Drosophila melanogaster: one gene and its partner. The protein of the gene in region 1 interacts with the protein of each later gene in a pairwise test. Each region holds a gene or a part of one and is shown in the gene's direction. Other genes may lie near its edges.

The links.
Region 2: the proteins of Jon65Aiv (region 1) and CG14024 interact in a two-hybrid assay, tested with the Drosophila melanogaster proteins (one large-scale study listed by BioGRID).

Annotation. Positions count from the first base shown.
Region 1 is NT_037436.4:6,037,172-6,040,883, forward strand, and holds Jon65Aiv (jonah 65Aiv), read left to right. Parts: upstream 1-1,983; 5' UTR 1,984-2,024; coding exon 2,025-2,281; intron 2,282-2,358; coding exon 2,359-2,917; 3' UTR 2,918-2,964; downstream 2,965-3,712. Other genes in the region: CG6462 (uncharacterized protein), read left to right, coding at 1-899.
Region 2 is NT_033779.5:5,310,753-5,317,022, reverse strand, and holds CG14024 (uncharacterized protein), read left to right. Parts: upstream 1-2,127; 5' UTR 2,128-2,344; intron 2,345-3,073; 5' UTR 3,074-3,138; coding exon 3,139-3,635; intron 3,636-3,698; coding exon 3,699-3,754; intron 3,755-3,931; coding exon 3,932-4,713; 3' UTR 4,714-5,712; downstream 5,713-6,270.

The DNA of each region.
Region 1 (3,712 bases):
AATCAAGTGAGCCTTGGCTAGATACTTTTGAGCACCCCAAAGAGGAGACACCGGACGATGACGATGCAATCATGGAAAGACGTTGGCAGCTTGGCTACGAAAACTTTCGACTTCGCTGCGAAAAATTCGAGATGGAAGGTAATCAAACCGCTGCTGTGAGAACTCGAATAGCTGGAGGAGAATTGGCCACGCGCGGCATGTTTCCCTATCAAGTGGGTCTGGTGATTCAGCTGAGTGGCGCAGATCTGGTCAAGTGCGGTGGTTCCCTTATCACTCTTCAATTTGTTTTGACTGCAGCCCATTGTCTGACCGATGCCATAGCTGCAAAGATATACACGGGCGCCACCGTATTTGCCGATGTAGAAGACTCCGTGGAGGAGTTACAAGTCACGCATAGAGATTTCATTATTTATCCTGATTACTTGGGATTTGGAGGATATAGTGACTTGGCTTTAATACGACTGCCAAGAAAAGTCAGAACTTCAGAACAAGTGCAACCCATTGAGTTGGCTGGGGAGTTCATGCATCAAAACTTTCTGGTAGGCAAAGTGGTGACCCTATCTGGCTGGGGTTACTTGGGAGATTCAACCGACAAACGGACGCGACTCCTCCAGTACTTAGATGCGGAGGTGATCGATCAGGAACGCTGCATCTGCTATTTCCTGCCAGGATTGGTTAGCCAGCGACGTCACCTGTGCACCGATGGAAGCAATGGACGTGGTGCCTGCAATGGCGACTCCGGTGGCCCCGTTGTGTACCACTGGCGCAATGTTAGCTACCTGATTGGGGTCACCTCGTTCGGCAGTGCCGAAGGATGCGAGGTGGGGGGTCCCACTGTCTACACCAGGATAACCGCATATTTGCCATGGATCCGACAGCAAACGGCAATGACCAACTAAATGCAATTAACGCCTAATTGCAGCCCATTAATTGCTAAACAATATAGTCGGCCCAGACAATAAAACCAATTTGAGCAATGAAACCAAAACAGGTTCTTCTGTCGAGAAAGGAAGGTGCAAATGGTCCATTTTATGTGTGGTTGTTTTCTCTTGAATGAAAATTGTTACCGATAAATAACAATAAACATTTCGGCATTGCAGAAGAGCAAGTCAATTTGGGGAGCTCAATAAGGGCACAAAAGAAAAATTACATTGCCATGGAAATTGCTGATGAATCGCCACTGAAATTGAAATCATTGGGTTGAGTGTCCGTTTTTGGTGAGGGCATATTGGGTACAGACCGCAGCGCCTCCTCCCGCTAATCGCCTTCAATTGGCCATCTGAATTGGCTATTAACCGCAGTGATGTGGTCGGTTGAACGCGTCATAAAATCACGCGGCTTTCGCTGATAAAGAAGGCTGCGGTTGCGAAAACAACTGAAATTTGCGTGTTTGTAATCAAAGAGAGAGTCCAGATACGCAATTGTTAGACGGCGGTATGATTTCCTATGAAGTTTAAGCAGTCTTGACCAACTCACGTCCTACTCCTTGACCTTTATCGAAGGTAAACAAACCCAACTAAACTGTGGGCTTACGGCTTCTCACCCTATAGACAGGAGATAAGATAGCACTCGACTACCATGGGAATTATAAGATACGCTGAAGAGCAAAGCAAACCTTTGCCAATTTTGTATCGCAATATATAGTTATGTATATATCGCGTATGTGTAAAACTAATCAAATTAATTAGCAACCCCATGCTAGGCCTTTGGTATCGCAGCGGCTCGATCTGGAAATCCACTCGAAGCCCATAGCCCTGATTAGATCCGTATCGGGATTAATACTCTTGGATTGGGAAAGTAATTTTGGCGACCGTGTGGCTGAAGTTCATTCATTCATATCTTCGGCACAAAATCTCAACAGATAAGGTAGTTCGAACCGACTTTAGTGGTCCTATCTAATCGGGACAGCTCTATTTCTGAATTGCAACCCAATCGCAGACGCGACTTGGCCAGTATAAAAGACCCCAGCTGGTCCTTGGCCAAACAGTTGAGTTCCCTTAACTGAACAAGCAACAATTCCCAAGATGAAGTTCCTGATCATCCTTGCCCTGGCTGTGGCCGCCTCCGCTTTCCCCGAGCCGGAGCTGCGCCATCGCAGCCGCGAGATGCCCGTCGTTGGCGACATTGGAGGTCGCATCACCGGAGGAAGCAACGCCGCCGTCGGCCAGTTCCCCTACCAGGTGGGACTTTCCCTGAAGCTGAGTGCTCTGTCCAGCGCCTGGTGCGGTGGTTCTCTGATCGGCAGCACCTGGGTCCTGACCGCTGCTCACTGTACCGATGGGTGAGTGTCCCTTGAAGGAATGCCGAAAATATCTTGGAACCAATGTCCTAACCAATTGTATGTTTGATTTATCGCAGAGTTCAGTCCGTGACCGTCTACTTGGGCGCCACCGTGCGCACCTCCGCCGAGATCACCCACACCGTGTCCAGCTCCGACATCATCATCCACTCCGGCTGGAACAGCGCTAACCTGCGCAACGACATCTCCCTGATCAAGATCCCCGCCACCTCCTCCAGCAGCAGGATCTCCGCCGTCAAGCTGCCAAGCATCTCCAACTCCTACTCGACCTTCGTCGGTGACGTCGCTGTCGCCTCCGGATGGGGACGCACCAGTGACACCTCCAGTGGTGTGGCTACCAATCTTCAGTATGTCGACCTGACTGTGATCACCAACACCAAGTGCGCCCAAACCTACGGCACCTCGGTCGTGACCGACTCAACCCTCTGCGTGGCCACCACCGACGCCAAGTCCACCTGCAACGGTGACTCCGGCGGTCCTCTGGTCCTCAAGTCGTCCAGCGAGCAGATCGGTCTGACCTCATTCGGTGCCTCTGCCGGTTGCGAGAAGGGCTACCCCGCTGCCTTCACTCGTGTGACCAGCTACCTGGACTGGATCAAGACTAACACTGGCATCTAGGAAGGAGTCAGGAACTACAATTTCGCTTAAAAATAAAAATCATTTCTAAAAAATTCAAAAGTTTTATAGCTCTATAGGGGGAATTTCGGAAACGTAGATCTTCATTTATAAATTTCTTTACTCAATATAGATCAAAAGAGAACTTATGTTCCCAGTTTGAGGGTCGTCGGTTATAGTAACAATCCATATCGTCTTGTACATATGCTTTTGTCTAAAATCAAAAATCATCACAAAACAGACAAATGAAAATGAATGCAGAACCAAGCTGTTACTGGCATTCGGCGAGTAAGTTCTCATTAAAATTCATTAAATTGCCAAGCGACACAATTTTTTTTTTTTTTTATTAATTTTTATTATTTATTGAATCTTCCCTTTGTGTTAAGAGACTAACAATAAGTGTTCAAATCTTAATCTAACTTAATTAACTTTCACTTAGTGATAGTTTTTTTTTTTCATTAATGCCCTAATAAGTTTATTGCTGGGCTGGGAGGTCGTTGCGGTGCAGCCGGCTTTGACTGCATACTCGGATTAGTTTTCTTGCGAGGGGATTTGTATGGGTGGTCAGCTTTTCGTTATACTTCGTTTTTTTCTCAGCTATTACTTCGATTACTAATTTGATTTTTAGGTCTCTGTGTATGTTTTCGTTCCGAAGGTACCACGGCGCTCCAGTGATAATTCTCAGAATTCTTGACTGTGCTCGCTGAATAATGTCTATGTTACTTCTGGATGCGTTGCCCCACAGCTCGGAGCCATAAGTCCAGATAGGTTTTAAGACGGAGTTGTATAGAAGAGCTT
Region 2 (6,270 bases), on another chromosome or scaffold:
ACACAAACACCCACCCATACACACATACTGCAGACAGACGGTTGCAAGCGCCGATTTACGCCTTTGTTAACACTTTGTTTTCTGCCCCCCAGTCCGAGCTTATCCGCCAATCACCCCTTCTCATCTGGCACTGCTATTACTCCCCAAAAAAATCCACCCATTGGAAATGATTTGCTAGTCATGTGAAACAGGCAATTTAATGTATAGCTCAGAAGATGAAATTTGAACAAATTAGTTGAGTAACGTATTTGAGAAGCTCCCATAAACACTAACATAGAATATAGTTGGCCGAAACTGAAAAAACAAACATCTCCAAACTCTCACGCATGCATAGTTTAATTTGAAATTTGAAAATGAAAATGAAAAATCCTATTTCCATGGACCGCTCTGTAAATATTTGGATACTTCTACTTCACGATGCAACATGAACACATTTCTAGCATTAGGTTGTCCTACTTTTAAGCGCTGCGCCCAGTCGAAAGTCTATAAGAAGCTGATCCGTTGGATCGAGCAGATCAGAGCAGACCACACGTTAACATTAGGTTTTATATTTTTGTAACCTTTAACATACGAATACAATACAGTACAGTACATACAGATATATATAAATATATATATATATATAGCGTATTAGTTTCCGTAAGCTTGCGTTGTTTCGAAAATTTGTTTTTTAGTTTTAAATGCTTTAGGCTAAGGACAGTAATCTTAACGCGAATTCTTTACCAACAATATATGCACATGGAAACCTATGCAATAAGTTAGTCAAAAATGTAAAAAGGCCAAGCACCAGAAAAAATGAAAACACAAAACACCTACAAAAAAAAAAAAACCACAAAAAAAAAATACAAAAAAACAGATCGAAAAAATATAAGGAGAAATGAGTGGAGAATATTGAGAATCAGTCGTCTAGTATCTGTCGTTTTGCAAAGTTAAAAGAACTATATAACGTTATATATTTTGCATATGCAAAACACACATAAGAAAATGGGATATCGTGAAAAAAGAAACCACACAAACAAAAAGTTGTATTGTATATAAGGCAGGCTCTATTTTTGCTAAATGTTATTTGAACTTGAACAAATAGGGGAAAACAATGAGTAAAGTAATTGAAGCAAAGCAAAGCAAAGGCAAAGGCAAAGCGCTAGACAAACAAACACACAAAACAACATTATATATTGTTCAATATTATTATTACCTTATATATATATATTGTATGATTGCTACATAAAATAATTCTTTTGATACTTTGTACATGTTTACTTTAAAGCAAGGCAAAACAAAGCATAAGCGTATGTAAAACCCAACCCTCTAGCATAACTCTGCATATATTCATATAGATCCGCTAAACTAACGTATATAGAACCCGAAACCATAATTGCATACCACACCATCCTTTGGACTTTGTTTAAACACTTTGGACCGACCGGACGGACAGCCACAACCACAACCAACTGCAATCTGCAATCTGCAATAAGCCCAGAAAGCACAGAAAACACGTTAATGGAAGAGGAAATGTTGTATAGAACGTATGAATAATTTATATACCGCTTCGTAAACAAACAGGCAACAAAACAAACAACACACATAAACAAATAAATGATATATTTAAATATTTAAAAACAAACCACACAAGATGAACAACAACAACAAAAAACGAAAGTGTCTTAAAACGTAGTATTAGAAGTTTATTATTAATTTGTTTGTACTTTAAAGTAAAATATTTATAGAAAAAGAAAAAAATACAAAGATTTAATATACACAAAAAATAAATGAATGCCGTGTTTTGGAATTTTTGGGAATTTGGAAGATGAGTTCTTAAAAACTACTTTTATAACTCGGAATCCGAAAAATGTATAGCAATGAAGGATTTTAGGGTTTTGAATTTAGTTGATAAAAACCTTTCATTTAAATAGGAAAAGATTAAATATTTTAAACATTAAACTTAGTTAATGATTCTAGCAGGTCCTGTGATTTTTCCCGGTGGCCAGTGAGCAGCGTTCGCAACTCCAGAGAGTGCCACCCAGTGGGTGTGCTCTCCCTGCGCCGGCGCCAGGCGAGGATTGTCGGCTTTCGAGGAGAGCAACGCTGGCTCGAAACACCAGGGACCCGCAGCTGCGGCCATCCGCCGCCGACTGGCAGTTGAGAGCGAGTGGCCGCCACGAGCAGGACGGCAGAAGCGGAGCAGGCAGCAGGATTCCCCGGAGCCACAAGCAACACGTAACAGAGCGGCCCCAGGAGCAGGAGGGGGCTGGCGGAGAGGCGGGCAGCCGTAGGCTTTCAGTATACACAGGGAGCTCGCCCGAAAAGCAAAGGATAAATATTTTAACGCCCGCCGCGCTTCAAAGTAAGTTAAGTTAAGCCAAATATCCTGGCCAAGGATTAGGCGAGGGGTTTACTGCCCGGACATCCAGAAATAAACGCACAGCTGTGCTAACTACCAGCTAGTTTAGCTTTAACTTGGCTCAAGTGGTCTCCGAGGTGCCGTGAATACGTTGGGCCTTCGTGCCAGCAGCAGCTATTGGCGGCCAATTCCCAGTCCTGGCCACAAGTGAACCCATGCCAACATTAAGCAGGAACTGGCGTTGCAACTGCGAGCGCAACTTGCAGCAACAGCAAATAGCACCACTGGTCATGTTGACGCTTAAGGATGACGTCCTACTTTCCGAGTCTTTCACTCGCTCAAGTGCGTCTGTGTTGGGGCCACGATGACGTAGTTTGCCAAGTCGCTATGTGTGTGTGTGTGTTGGCCCGAATGTTGGCATGTGCGTGTGTATGTGGCAGAGGGTGTCATTTGGTGTGTACACACCAACAAGTGTCGCCTGGCCAAAAGAGCCAAAAAGCAGGGGTGGCTGAAAGATTAATGCACACTTTCTGGCCAAAACAGAATCCGAAAGGGTATCTTTGGGATTGCACTTTCTGCAAGATAGTTTATAAATAAATATACATAACTATCTATAAGATATTATACATAATTTACAGAAACTTAATCCTTTGAAGCTCAAACTTATGGTAAAATATCCAGATTTAAAACATTATAATAATATGAGATGAAATCTGTTCACTCTCACCATAGAAACCACCGCCCATCCGTGGATCATGCAGCGAGCTCGCTGCAGGAATCCCTGGTAGATTCGCAAGATGCTCATCCGCCTGCGCTATGGAAGACGCCTGCAGACCTATCTGAAGATAGGCGCCTGTGTCCTGGTCGGCCTGTGCTACTTCGCCTTCCTTTTCCGCGAATCCCTCAATGCATACGAGCACCGGGAGCGGGCTACGGCCGCGGAATTGGAGGCGGAATCGGAGCCATCAAAGCAGCAGCTCAAGCTAAAGCGGCAGCAGTTGCAGCGCCAGCGGATATTGGCCAAGCAGCAGGAGCAGGGAAAGGGCATCGCTGGGGGAAATGCCAGTGCAGGCAGCTCATCCTCCCAAGCAGCAGCTCCTCCGCCGCCGCCGCCGGCTACCACCCTGAATCCCGTGTATGAGTACTCCGAGGAGCTGCACAGTCGCACGGAGCGGGAGCTGCAGAGGAGGAGCGAGCATCTGGCCGCCGTCTGCGATCGGTATAAGCTGCAGGAAAAGTACCCACCGAATCCCTGGGAGTTCTTCGTCTCGCCTGGCCACAACAATCTCGTCTGGTTAGTGGGTCATCCCATCTCTATTTTATTTATATTTTATTAACATTTTTGGTTAACTTTTAGGTGCAACGTCTTCAAGGCGGCCAGCAGTACGTGGATGTATTACTTTAATATATTAGGTAAGCTTGAATTGAAAAATATAGAGATATATATTCCATTTTATTATATTATTACCCGATAAAGATAGATTTTAATTGATTTGGTATTACAAATATCTTCCTCAATATTCCTCTTCAAGTTAGGATATTTATTTAAGTCTTAAGAATATTCTTTAAAATTTCACTATGGCTTTCCAGCTGGCTACGATGTGAAGTATCTGCAGCGCACGGAGACGCAGCCACTGGAGCTGGCCAGAAAGCGTTTTCCACGCCCGGAACTGGGCGAACTGATGGAGCTGCTGCCCAGTGCGCTGTCCTTTCTCTTTGTGCGCGATCCCTTCGAGCGAATCCTGAGCGCCTATCGCAACAAACTGGAGGGCAACAAGAACACCTTCTACAAGGCGCTGGGCAACAAGATCGTGCATCGCTACAGGAAGCGTAATCTGGGCGGACCCTGGCCGCGATGTGGACCCACCTTCGAGGAGTTCGTCCGCTTCCTGATCGCCGAGCATGCGGCGGGCAAGAGATTCGACGAGCACTGGGCACCAGTTTACAGCTTCTGCACGCCCTGCAGCGTTAACTTCACCATCATCGGCAAGACGGAGACGTTCCAGAGGGACTCGGAGTTCATCATACGGCAGGCGGGCCTGGAATCGCTGCTCCTGGGACTGGGCAAGCTGCCGCAGCGGAAGCAGCGCAAAATTGGCAACCAGGCGCGAAGTGGCGTTAAATCCGAGGCCCTGGTCGAGCGATACTTCGCCGATCTCGACCGCTCAACGTTGGACCAATTGCTCAAGATATATCGCATCGATTTCGAGCTCTTTGACTACGACTATCGCAGGTACTACGATATGGTGCATCCGTGGAGTCTGGAGCAGAGCACTGCCGCATCCGGAGGGCCGGCAGTCGCATCCACCAGTACGACACCATCGATATCCTCTGGCCTGGCTGGCCAGTCCACCCAGGGTCAGGCGACGTAGGTGCAGTGGTGTCAAGGAGTTTGGGATCGATCAGTCGTGAAACAATCTTATCATGTACCTTTTTACACGAAAACTCAGACCACAGACAAAGGAAACACTCTCACACGATGAAAACAGAACCCAACCGAAGCTAACAAATCTACCAAAAAGTTTATGGCCAAATCAACGTTTTCCAAAAACGAAAAACCAAAAAAAAAAACACTCTTGACCTCTCTTAGATAATGCCAAAAAAAGAAAGCAAACGATGTAACGATTCGAAAGGAAACTTAGTTAGAAGATTTAGCATTTTGATGGATTTTTTCAGCCACCAAAAATTCGGACAGGATACCCTACAATTTTACATGGCGTGGCATGTGTGTTGTGTTGTAGCTAGTTTATAAGTACCTACAATTTACAGATGCACTCTCAAACCAAACGAAAACACACACCCACAAGAAAAGCGATATATTATATATATATAGATATTATAGTTAAACGATATATACAGACCTCTTTACCTATATCGCGAATGCTAATCTTCAAGGCAAGGCTGGAGAGTTTATACAACCAGAAAGTGAGAAATCGTCTTACACCAAATGAAATTCTGTATTTACACGTATTTACAACCGAATCCCCAGATACCAAAACCCTCAAAAACCACAACATATGGTACTTACTATTGTTAAGTTATTATATATACCTATATATTAACGAAATTTATAAACAGGTCTTGATCTAAGTCTATAACTTTTGTGGACTCTAGATACGTTTTTCCTAGGCTAACGAAACAAGCGGAAAATATTCGATTTCCCGATATGAAAAAATTATGAAAATGATACCAAAGAACGAAAGGAAAGTGTTTAGAACTTATAAAAACAAAGGCAAAAACCCAACAGAAAAACTTTTCATGTGATGTTTAAGGATTTATTATAAAGACAGAGAATATTTAATTATTATACTTATACTGTATTTCGAATGATAATGATAACAGAGAATCGAAAAGTAACACGATATTATTCTAAATAAATTTAAATTTTCAAAACTTTTTTTCGTTGTATGAATACAAGGCAACAAAGTTATTAAGAATAAATAATCTCTTTACCACTCGACGTACCTGAAGTTTGAAATCATTTTGGAAAGTTTTCAGGTTTTCAACTAACTCATTCTGCAATATGCGATAAGCTCGTGCGATGATGGTGATGTAATATTTTTAAAAAGCTGTGTAATAGATTAACTTGCACTTTGCTGATATACAATAATTGTGTATGATTCACACCCAACAAACCGGCGAATATTGAAGTGCAGTAAACAATTGGCAGTAAAAGACCTTTGCTGGTTTGTTTCATTATTATAAATAGTTTATTTTCATTGATCAACACAAACGAGTTATTTTAATATGCATATAGATAGGGCTGTATGTATATAGTAGTAGTCATATGTATTTTCTTGTGTGCTCCACTGCGATTATTTGTAAAGTGTAATACAGCTTTAAAAGTGAATGCTCGAATTACGACACCAAACGATCGATCTACTCAGCTAGATGGTCTACAAATAAAATGTGTGTTTTTTGTGTGGCTT